3 linked regions of the Tamandua tetradactyla genome follow. The protein of the gene in region 2 purifies or fractionates together with the protein of the main gene of each other region. This does not show direct contact. Links are inferred from orthologs where the notes say so. Each region holds a gene or a part of one and is shown on either strand. Other genes may lie near its edges.

Region 1 (3,744 bases), on a different chromosome or scaffold from region 2:
TAAAATCTGTCTAGTTAAAATTCTTGATTATTCTATTTTTCAGTCTGCCAGTGACTAATATGTCACAAACATCAAAACTATGATCGTACACATACATAATAATTTCGACTTGTCAGCAAGGTCACCTCATGCCTAGAACCCATATTCGCATTTCTTTAACCTACAATGCTTCTGATTCAGAGATTTTGTGCTAGATCCTAAGGTAGTTTGTTTCTATCGGCATATTTTTTTTGTTTTCTTGAAATAAAAAATAAGTAAATATAGAAACAGACAGTAAGTTATTTAAAAAAAAATCCCTCCAGCTTGAGGAATGCCTGTCTTTCATCAGTCTTCCAGAATTTTAATAACTGTTTAACACCTCTTATGCCTTCGGATTTCCGTGAGTGTGCTGGCATTTGCGACACTTCCTTTTTCTGATTTGTCTCTTGATTCATCTGCAGACTCAACCCTGCTAGCAACAAAGTATGTTGAAGGCGCATTTCATCCTCACCCTTGCAAAAATCACTCATCCTTAAGGCAACTGACTCAGGCTGCTCCTCGGGTCCTCTTTTTTTTTTTTTTTTTTTTTTTTTTTATCCCCCCGTCCTGCAGTTTTCTACCTATATATGGTCATGGGGCTCACACAGAAGCCTGGCTTCCCCGGGAACACCGGAAAGTGAAATTTCACTAACAAAAACCTTATACCCCTGGCGGCCGCTATAGTTTCTGTCCTGAAAATGGTGAAAGGCAATGATTAAGGCGGTTGCATCCTCAGGGTGCTTTTACTCAGCCCCTAAGGGAAGACGTGATCTTCACAGAGTGGTCTCCCCTCCCTCCCTCGCCGGACCCCGGGACCCAGAAAGGGGGAAGGGGGGTGGCCGCGGCCTGGGAGACGTGGCAGCTTAGCCCGGGAACGCCGCCTAGCTCCGCCCAGCAGCCCGCCTGGCTCCGCCTCGCAGCCGGCGCGGTCTCCCTCGCTGTAGTCCCGCGGCTGTTCTCCGAAGCCCTGCTTCGCTACCACGTGTGATTGTCCCCAAAACTGCGAGGAGCTGGGCTGCACTTAAACAGAGCAAGCAAGCGAGGCGCCACTGAATGGGGCGGATGGCAGGGGCAGTGGGCGCCCACCACGCTATGCTGCCCCTCGGCGATTCGTTTATTAGGACCCAACGCTGCCTGCTGTTACGCAAAGGAACAGTTCATCCCACTTTAAATATGGAGAGCGCGACGAGGAGAGGAAGTTCCGGGGAGAGAGCAAACCTATACAATGGCCTATCTTGCAGAAACATAACTCTAAATAAATCCATCAGTTTTTTCCTAGCGAAGATGGCCATTCAAAACCTCCAGGTTATTCGGAATGACCAGAGATTTAAGGAAATGTGCAGAAATAAGAAATCTTTGGAATAGGATCTAACTAGCTTTAAATGGATAGCTTTCTTGGTGACATTTCAAACTAGATGTGTAAAAATATCAGAGACTTTATCAGGGGAATTGTTAACGGAATATCACCCAAATTTCATGCTCAAATAAAACTATGATACTTTCGAAATATAACTGGAGAATGAATAGAAGGACATTGACTATTGTTAGAATATTAAAAATATGCAGAAGTCTCACGGGCTTCATAGGTTTTAGACTCCTTTAGGGTGGAGATGATAGTTATTACATTTCTATTACTTCAATATAAGGGAACTCACTGTAGAGCATGGTGCACAAAATAGGCACTCAGTGGATTTGTTATTTAAAACAAATAATAATCCACGATGCAAAGCAATTCAATATTGGAGGCAGGTTTGAAGTGTAATTTGGGCTTTTCCCTACTAATCTGATTTAAGTATGGTCCTATACAGAGGCATAAAGTAGATGTTTAAAGTAACTTTTAGTAGCGTTTCTGAGCCCTGGACTGCCAGGAGATTTCTGGGATCCTGTCAAGGGTTCTTTGGTGATCATGCTGTGTGGCTTTTAGCCATTGCTAGTCATCCTAATCATACCTTACACTTTCTAGTTCCAAGTCCCACTGCCTTTTTCATCCCCAATGTACCTACCCCTACCTTGTAAAAACAAAAAATTAGTGCATTATAGTCAGTATAATCTCACTTCATAATGCCATCATCTCCACTTTCATTATCTGTTCCCTCCACATTTCTGGGTTTCTTTTCTACCTTGGACAAAACACTAAAGAGAAAATCAATTAAACAATAACAACAAAAAATCCCATGAAAACAAGCAAACAAAAAAAGAAAAAAGGAGACTACCGTCTTAATAGTCTGAAAATATGCCCCCCACTTTTTCAGTGCGGTGCAGACAGATGCTGGGCATAAAAATTTGAGTTTTCTTACCTGAGGTCAGGGGACAAAAGACTGTGGGTCGCTGTGCTTAGTTTTCCATATTGAGGCTTTCGTTTTTTTGTTGTTGTTTTAATATAGAATGGAATGAGCAGAATGTAGTTATTGCCTGCCATCTAGTGTATTTAGCTGGAATTTCACCTTGCGGCTAAGAACCGACAGCTAAAGTTCAGAAAACTAATGCATTGATTCAAATAAGGATGGATGAACTCTACAACCACTTCTGCCTTCCCAGCTTCAGAGCTTCACGTGTAAAAAACAATTAAGGGGACCCAATGTCGAACATTTATTGCTAAATGTAGAGCAGAAATGGATGTCCTATCTAAATGAGAAGAATCAAGAAAACTACACTCAAAATACAGGCTTCGTGAGTAACTGCACAGTGTAAAAATATCACAGTAGTTATTAAAAGTCAACTGCATTCAGAATGCTCTTGACGTGACTCCCCAATAGAGAAAAGCAAAAAAAAAAAAATGTATCAGTGTAAAATTCATCTTTCAAACAGAGAAGACGTTCTCGTAGTCACTCTGGTTCAAACACTTTTGACGAATTGGACACAGCGGGTCATCTGAACAGCTTTCATGCTACTGCCAGACTGACCTTCCTTACACACCTTGAAAACCTCCTGGAACCCTGTGGATGAGAAATAAGGAAATAAAGAGAAAATAAAGTTTCTTTTTGTTCCTGGATCACCTCCTCTGTCTGGTCTCATTGTTGCCTCTTTCTGGTTTCATCCGACCTCTACAATCATTTCCCATGGCTCTTCTTTTTTTTTCGTTTGTATTTAACTTTGCACGGCTCTTCTTGAGCTTTCTGCCTACCTCATGAACAAGCCCTGCTCATTGCTGTCTTCAGGTTTCCATCAACCTACCTGCTCTCGCGAGGAATATCTGTCCTTCTTCCCTCCTTTGCCAAACCAAACCCTCCTCCCCCTTCAGGATCCCTGGCACCCTCCCTTGCTGTCAAGTCCTGGAGGAATTGTAGGTTATAGTTCATAGCTGAGTGCTTGCCCAGATACTGTCACATGGTTTGCCATTATTTCACATGCCCTCTCTCCTCCCAAATAGATTGTGAAATGGTCCAGGCCAGACCCTACTTCTTACCCACTTCCGTCTCGCCCCCCACCCCCACCTACTCACCTATGCTTCTGGGGACACTGTGAGCCCAGTGCATACTTTTGGATTGGATTTCTTCATCCTCTCCTCCATTCTGCAAGGCAGATGGGCTCCTATTGTTCTTGCTGTTAGGAATGAGGACCCAGAGACCCAGAGCATTTGCCGGACGTGCCCTTGTCTCCCAGAAAGTGAGCCAGTGGCAGAGCTGGGCTGGGGCCTCCCATCCTTGACGGGTGGTCCTCCTGGCACACTGCCGCAGCCGTCCCGTGCGGAGGGAACTCTCAAGCCGTACACTAAATGCTGCTTTA
Region 2 (3,744 bases):
GGGTCCATCTCCCCATGTGGGCTTAGAAGTTGTCAGGAGACAGGGAAGTCAATTTACAGAGTGACCACACAGGGGTGGGCAAGGGTGAGACCTGAGGGATCAAAGCGGGGGAGTGTCTCACATGCTGCCTGGGGAGGGTGGGAGAGGGGCTGGCCTCAGCCAGCACCCACAGGGTCCCCGGGGCCCAAGCTAGCACCCATGGGGTCCCCGGGTTCCCCCGTGCCTGAGTCCTGCGCAATCTGGAGGGTGTAAGCACCCACGGGCCAAGCATCCTCGGCTGCGGCCAGCCCGTCTTGGACAAACCACAGATATGCTCCTACCAGCCAGCCTGAGAGCAGCTCCCCAGTGCCCAGGGGAACTGGGGGTAAAACAGGCACGAGGGAATCCCCGCCCCGCCCTTGGGTGCCAGCTGTCTCCACCAGGAAGCTCCTGACCCATGCTGAGAACAGGTTTTGCACACTGCCTGGGTCTTGGCCGGAGGAGGAAGGCAAGTGAGAGCGAGCGAGTGTCCATGTAGGGGCACCTGGGCCAGGATAGAGTGGAAGAGCCATGTCACGTGGGATGGCCCCCAGGCACTGCCACACTGACCCATCATGGCTGCTGCCCTGCTGGCCATCACATCCAACGCCCATCTCCTGCCCCCCCACCCTGTGCCAAGTCACCAACAACCCCGGGAAATGGGACCCCTAGGACAGGGCAGGAAGCCAAGGCCGGACTCCACCCAGCTCCCACTCCAAGTGGTTCAGGGGCTCGGCCAGCCCCACCCTACTCTGTTCTGCATCCCCCCCCCAGGGCCCAGGGGGTGGGTGGGTGCTCCTGTGTCTCAAAGTGCTTGGATAGGTGGCCCACCAGCTCCCGCACAGGGCAGAGAGGCTCAGCTCAGAAGCCGTTCCTGGAGCCTCGATAATAAAGAGCAGCCCCCCCGGGGACTCGTTAGACTGCCACCCCTGCGGGGGGGAGGGGGGAAACAACGGCCGACTGGCCCAGCTCCCAGGGGAGGTGCGGGAGGGACTCGCCCAGCAGGGTCCCAGGAGGCAGGAACACAAGTCCCTTCCCTGTGCCTGTGCCTCCCTTCCAACCAGGGTCGACACCCCCAAATCCAAGCAGAGACGCCACTGGGACATCCCATATCAGTCTCCTGGGGCCAAGGCAGGCAGACTTTAAACATGCTGAAGCCAGCACTCCAGGACCCCCAGCTGGGAACTCCCACCCAGCCCTGGCCAGAGGGACCCCGTGCCCTCCTGCAGTATAGCCCAGCTTGGAGAAGGACAGCACGACCCCTCTCTTGGGTGCTCAGTCCAGTCTCTGTCCCCCCACCCCCCTCCCAAATACCTCACTGCCCCCGCAAGCATCCTCAGTGTCCAGATGGGAAACAGATGTGCCAGGCCCAAACGCGCCTGCCTGGGGGACATCTGCAAGTTTACCCTGCTGGACTCCACAAAGATGCGGGCCACTGTCCCCTGTGAGAGAGGGAGTTCATGCCCGGGATGGAGGGGCAGCAAGGGAAGGGACCCGCGGTCAGGCCAGCCCCCCACCAGCAACCTCCCTGCCCCCAGTCCTGAAGGAGTCTCCCTCTGCTCCCAGATTCCAGGGCTAACGGGAAATGGAAACAAAAGGAAAAGCGCACCCCCGGGGAATTCCCAGCAGTTCAGGCAGGGCAGAAGAAAGCAGCTCCTCCAGGGAGACTCTCCAGTCCCCCAAAAATTCATCATCAGAGGTGACCACAGCATGGGTCCCTCTTCCCAGAAGGCAAGCTCTCGCCCAGGACTTGGGTACTGGTGCCGGGACCCTGTCTTGAGCCCACTCGGGACGCCGGCCCCCCCTCCCCTCCACGGCAGTCCCTCCCCCTCCCCCACACCCACTCCAGGGTGCATGGGAGACAAGGCCAGGGCTGAGGTCCCACGACGGATGGGCAGACGAGGCGGGGGCAGGCACCCCAACACGCAGACACGCCTGAGCCAAGCCCACTGCTTTCCTGACCCCAGGATTCAGAAGCGGTCACAGCGGTTGGAGGCTGGGCTGGAGGGGGGGCTGTGGACGGTCCCAAAGCCTGGGCCAGTGGGCCGACGCAGGGGCGGTGGCCCCGATGAGCTCATGGGGGCGGGGCGCCAAGAGCCCCGCCCCAGCCCCCTCCCGCCCCCCTAAGTAGGGTGGTCCCGGGATCAGCCGCTCGGGAGAGCGGGCTGCGGCCGTCCCCCACCGAGGGGTGCCCGCGCGCGCGGCCTCGGGTCCCGCAGCCCCCACTCCAGTCCCTCATGTGGGGATCGGCGGCTCCGAGCGCCGACGTCACCCCCCCCCAGGGCCCCCCAAATGCCCCGGCCCGGCCGCGCGGCCCGGAGCCCCTGACGCACAGAGGCCCGGGCGTCCCGTAACCCCGCGCCGACCCCGCGGGCAGGGGCGCAGCGACCACGGGCGAGCCCCCGCGCCCCGGGCACGCAGGCCGGGCGCCCACAGGTGGCCCCGCAACTTGGCGGGCCGCGGCCGGGCTGCGCCGCCGCCTGCGCTCGGGCCTAGCCGGGGCCCGGCCTGCGGGAGTCCGGGGCGTCCCCGCAGGAACCACCCCGCCCCCCGACCTCCGGCGGCGCCGCTTACCCAGAAGACGAAATTGAAGACGAAGAGCAGGTACTTGATGCACTTGGTGCAGCCTTCCACCCCCATGGCGGCGGGAGCGGCGGGGGCCGGGCCTGGGCGGCGGGCGGGGGCGCCGAGGGGCCGGGGGGAGGCCGGGGGTCAGGGACGCGGCGCGGGGGGCGCGGGGGGGGCGCGGGAGGCCTGGTCGGTGCGCGCTCGGGTCGCCGCGGCCGCTGCTGCTGCTGCGCGCTCGCTCTCTGGCCGTGCGCGCGCCCCGCTCCGCGCCTCTTATAGGACGCACGAGGCCCCGCCCCTTCCCCGCCCCCCGCCCCGCCCGCTGCCCGCAGCGGCCCGAGCGCGCGGGGCCGCCGGGAGTCCAGAGTCGGGCCCGCGCGCGGCGTGGGGGGTGGGAGTGCGGGCAGTCCATTGGTGTCCCCACGGGGTTCCCGCAGACCAGCGCGGGCTGGCTGGGAGGTCTGGGCCGGCGGGAGGACGGTCAAGCAGGCTGTGCTTCCCCTCATCCCCTGGGAGGGGCCGGAGCCCCCCGGGGCGCCAGGCCCCACTTCCCGCTGTGGTCCCCAAAGCCTGGTGGCCAGGCCCCCGCCCCCGCCGGCTTGGGGCAGTGAGGAAGGGAGACCCATGGGGACGGTGTGGGGGTGGGTGACCCACAGATGAAGTTTCTGCCCATTCTTGCCCAGAGAAACAGGGAGGGCCAGGCAGAGCCCACTCACGGTTCGCCCCACCCTCCGGACCACAGAGCCACCCTTTAGGAGCTACCCCACCCCACCCGCCACTCCCGCAGCTGCCATAGCCGAAAGCCCTGTGTCTGCCTGACACCTGGCTGTTTGTGACCTTTGAGCCGGTGAAGTGTGGCTGGTGCCTCTGAGAACTGCATTTTTAATAGAATTTAGGGGTAGCTGAAATTCGGATAACCAGCCATCAGTCTCAGCTGCTTCTACTTAATTCTGTCGTCTTCTCTGGTTAATTTGTAAATCTGTGTTGGTTTTGTACTTGGACAAGAGCTGCAAGCGTGAGTTTAGAGCTAGTTTTTTGTGCCTATCTATGTGACGTGATAATAAAAGTAAGTCTTCCCCGGGGTCAGGGAGTGTTTGTTTCACTTAAAGGAGACGGAACAGTGATGGAAGGAAACAGTCACCCAGGTGTTCTGGGCAC
Region 3 (3,744 bases), on a different chromosome or scaffold from region 2:
GGATCCCCGCACCCACCTCGCAGGGAAAGGCCGACAGGTGCGGGGTTGGGGGGATGCCCCCTGTGCGGGGCGGGTGTGAATGTGTTTGAGCCGAGGTGCCGCCAGCTCTGCCGGGCTGCAGCGGTAGCCGGGGCCTGAGGCTGGACTGGGCGGGGCAGAGGGCGGAGCCTGAGATGGGGCGGGGGCGGGGCGGGGCGGGGCCGGACGGAGGGGGCGGGGCCGGGCGGGAAGCGTCTCCGGGAGTTGCGGAGGGCGGGAGGGAAAGCAGTGGGAGGAGGAGGAGAGGAGGGGAGGAGGAAGGCGGCTTGGCCTCTGCCGCTCGGCTCGGCTTAGCTCACCCACGCCTCGCTGCTCTGCTTCGTGCCCCCCACCTGGGCATGCGCCCCCCGCGCCCCCGGTCCCCCCGAGCCTGCGCCGCCCCCCGGAGCCTCCCCAGAGCCGACCGCGCAGAATGGGCGCCCTCGGCCCCACGCAGCTACCCCCGCCGCCGCCGCTGCTGCTGTTGCTGTTAATGCTGGGTAAGCCGGGCCCCTGGCACCAGCTCGCCGGGCAGGTGCCTGCCAACGGCAGCCAGCCCGGCCCACCCTTCCAGCGTTTCCCCTCGCACCCGCTTTCTCCGTCGGAACACCTCCGGCCTCCCGGGGTTCAGTGCCCAGCTGCGCTGTGTGGCCGCCCGCTGAGGCAGTCTTGGGGAGGGTGAGAGCACCCCAGCTCTAGGCCCTGGGGCTGGGGCGCAGCGAGGACCCCCCCCAAAGTGCCGTCCCGAGGCAGCACCAGGCCTCCGGGGACCAGGCCCCACTTCTCAGCCGGCCTACCCAGGCCCTGGAATCTCTGTCCCCAGCTCAGCTTCAGGCGTGGCCTTGGGTGCTCGCCCTGTGTGGTGCCGGCCTATCTTCATAATTGCCCCCGAGTTAGCTGGAGGCCCCGGGGCTGGCTCTGCCCATGATCTTTGAATAAGTCCCCTAATTGACCCCCTCCCCACTTCATTATCTCAGATTGGGGCCAGTCCCCTCTCTCACCCCCTCTGCCCTGCACTGGGTCTCTCTTTGCCCCTCTTCCCCTCTCCCAGATGCCACTTGGTTTTGCAGCCCCTAGCTGGTCATCACACCCCTTAAAGTCTCAGCCTCCCGGCCTCAGAACCCAGGTCCCATGGAGACTGATCCTGGGCTCTCCAAGCACCCTATCTATTGTGGTGGGGTGTTTATGGTGGGATGTTCTGGACCACCCCTGAGTGGCAGCATGGAGGTAGTGACAGTGGGGTTGCTTTGGCCTGAACTGGAGGGCTCCCTGTAGGAGGTGAACTGGGGGAGGAGTGTGGCATCATGAGGGTGAGGGGTGGGGTGTTGGTAGCGGTGGCTCCGGTGGCAGGATTTGGAGCTGCCCTAGTCGAGGCAGACACCTAGCCCCAGCTGCCTTTTCCTAGTTCAGAGCTCCACAGCAGCCCTAAGCTGAGTATCCACCTGTCACATAGGGCCGTGGGCCCTCCATGGCAAAGAGGAGTCCTCTCCATGGAGCTCTGGGACCAAAGGCAGGAGGGTGTACAGAAAGGAAGGCGCTGCGGGGCCCTGTTGCCTAGCACAGATATCGTTTTTTCCCAGTGGGCAGTACAGTACAAAGAGGAGCCCAAGGGAGGTGGGGAAGTGTGATACAGAGAGATGGAAGAGGAGCCGGCCCAGCCCTGCGCATCCACCACATATGGCGCTGACATTCATTTCACAAATGGCGTCATTTCACCAATAAGGAAAATGTAACTTGCCCCACATACCATACCTAGTGAGAGCTGGAGTCAAATTTGAACTCAAATCAGTCTCTCCAGAGCAGGCCTCTTTGTTCTCCCTCCCCTCTCCTTGGTGGAGGAGAGGAGGGGACTTGGCTGGAGAGAGAGAACTACATGTGGCAGCTGGATTTCCTAAGGCTATGGGGGTGACTTTCCCATGGGGATCTCCAGGCATCAGCAGTTGTGGAGCCAGGAAGGTGGGAGGGAACCTTTCTGAGCAGAGTCTGCCCTAAGGCACTGGCCGGGGAAGTTATCAGCTCGGCAGTCTCTGCCCATCACCCTGATTATGAAACGTGCCTCAGGCAGGGCCCTCCTGAGTCACACACTCACTCACTCTCTGAGCTGGAGGCTCTCTGCTCTTCTCCGATGTGGAAACTGAGGCCTGGCAAAGGAAGGGACTGGCCTCAGACCATCCAGCTGGAGTCCCAATTCCCAGCCTCTGCTCAACCAACCAACCGTGAGTTTGCCCCAGTGACTCAGCCACAGGAAGAAGGAGCCAGCAGGCTGGCTGGGGTAGGAGAGGAAGTCAGGAGGAGCTGCTCTGGGTGGCGGAGTTTGACCACAGACTCGTGGCATTGCCCTCCATCCCCTGCAGAAAGGCCATGGGTAACCCCCTGGAAGGCCTGGAAATGAGACCAGTGGTGAGGTCAGTCCCCTCAGACGTCGCCTTGGAGTCTCCCCTTTTACCTCCCTGGACGGGCCTGTCGAAGTCACCCAGGGGCCCTAGGATCTTGGCCCAAACTATATAGTTCTCTTTCCTTACCTTTCACATCTGTAAAATGGGGGAAGGAGGCTGACCTTACATTCTGGGTTTCTGTGATCCTCTCTAGTGGGGGCTATGGAAGGATGGTAAGACAGGAAAAAGAACCTGAGCCCTCCAAGGCTGCCAGGACTTTCTGCCGGGGCTGGGTAGAATGTGGAGATGGAGTTAGGGTACAGATGCAGGGTTTGGCCCCTCTGGGGAGACAGATGCCTGTCTACAGAAAGGAAGCCATATGTGAGTGAATGCCCACTCTATGCAAATGTAGGCTTCCTTAGAGAGTTGAGGGGTGGGGGTGGGGGGTTGCCTTGTGCAGCTGGGCCAGCCTGCAAGGTTGGCAGTTGCTGGGGAGGGGATCGTCTGCCCCTGGAGGCCAGGGCAGAACCTATTTCTTGCCCCAGAAGCCCCAGATGTCTCAGCAGCCCTGTGGGGCGGGAGAAACAGTGAGCTCATGGCACAGCTGGAGGGGGAGGGCATTGTGTGCCAAGAGAATTGACTGGGTCTGTGCCCTGTCTCGGCTTGGGCCGCTGGCTCCATTGTCTGGAGTCTCTTGGCCCAGGTGACACAGTTGAGTCAACCAGCCCTTTTGAGCAAGAGTTTGTCAGCTCCCTTCAAGCAAGGGAGGGGAGACAGGTGGTCTCAGAATTCCTTAGCCAGAAGGCTCCTCTGACCAAGCTCTGGTGGAGTAATGGCAGACACTGGGGGAAGAGGGGAAGTAGGGAGTAGAAGTGGGAGGTCGGGGGTAGGCATAGATAGGTATAGTTGGAATTGCTAAGTCAATATCAAAGCTTCCCTTTCTGCCCTTAGGGACTCCGCTTCTTGTCTTCCAGAAATGGGTTTTGAGGCAAGATTGGGCCTGTACCCCTTTCTTGAGACCTAGGTGTCTTACCTCCCAGCATCCTTTCCCTGCTGTCAGAACAGGACCTAAGCTGTCTGCCAGTTACCCTCAGGTTTCTTTGCATTCATGGGCAGGGGTCAAGAATGGGTTGGCAGTGGTGGGGCTAGAATGGTGACCCAGGCACCCCCTTCTCCTGCCCTGCCCTACAGGAGTTGGATGCTCTGCCCGGGAGGTGCTAGTCCCCGAGGGACCCTTGTACCGCGTGGCTGGCACAGCTGTCTCCATCTCCTGCAATGTCAGTGGCTACGAGGGCCCTGCCCAGCAGGACTTCGAGTGGTTCCTGTACAGGCCCGAGGCCCCAGAGGCCGC

What was found.
Region 1: the proteins of CD81 (region 2) and ITGB1 purify together in Homo sapiens (affinity purification with western blotting; 4 studies listed by BioGRID and IntAct, with this or other methods). This does not show direct contact. The link is inferred for Tamandua tetradactyla from reciprocal best matches to the Homo sapiens genes CD81 and ITGB1.
Region 3: the proteins of CD81 (region 2) and IGSF8 purify together in Homo sapiens (co-immunoprecipitation; 3 studies listed by BioGRID and IntAct, with this or other methods). This does not show direct contact. The link is inferred for Tamandua tetradactyla from reciprocal best matches to the Homo sapiens genes CD81 and IGSF8.

Annotation. Positions count from the first base shown.
Region 1 is NC_135327.1:218,127,675-218,131,418, reverse strand, and holds the start of ITGB1 (integrin beta-1), read right to left. Parts: upstream 2,341-3,744; 5' UTR 2,316-2,340; intron 1-2,315.
Region 2 is NC_135335.1:2,268,346-2,272,089, reverse strand, and holds the start of CD81 (CD81 antigen), read right to left. Parts: upstream 2,713-3,744; 5' UTR 2,659-2,712; coding exon 2,593-2,658; intron 1-2,592. UniProt on the Homo sapiens protein: Structural component of specialized membrane microdomains known as tetraspanin-enriched microdomains (TERMs), which act as platforms for receptor clustering and signaling.
Region 3 is NC_135330.1:13,139,239-13,142,982, reverse strand, and holds the start of IGSF8 (immunoglobulin superfamily member 8), read left to right. Parts: upstream 1-1,372; 5' UTR 1,373-2,143; coding exon 2,144-2,234; intron 2,235-3,584; coding exon 3,585-3,744. UniProt on the Homo sapiens protein: Member of the immunoglobulin superfamily (IgSF) that links tetraspanin-enriched microdomains to the actin cytoskeleton and plays several important roles in innate and adaptive immunity.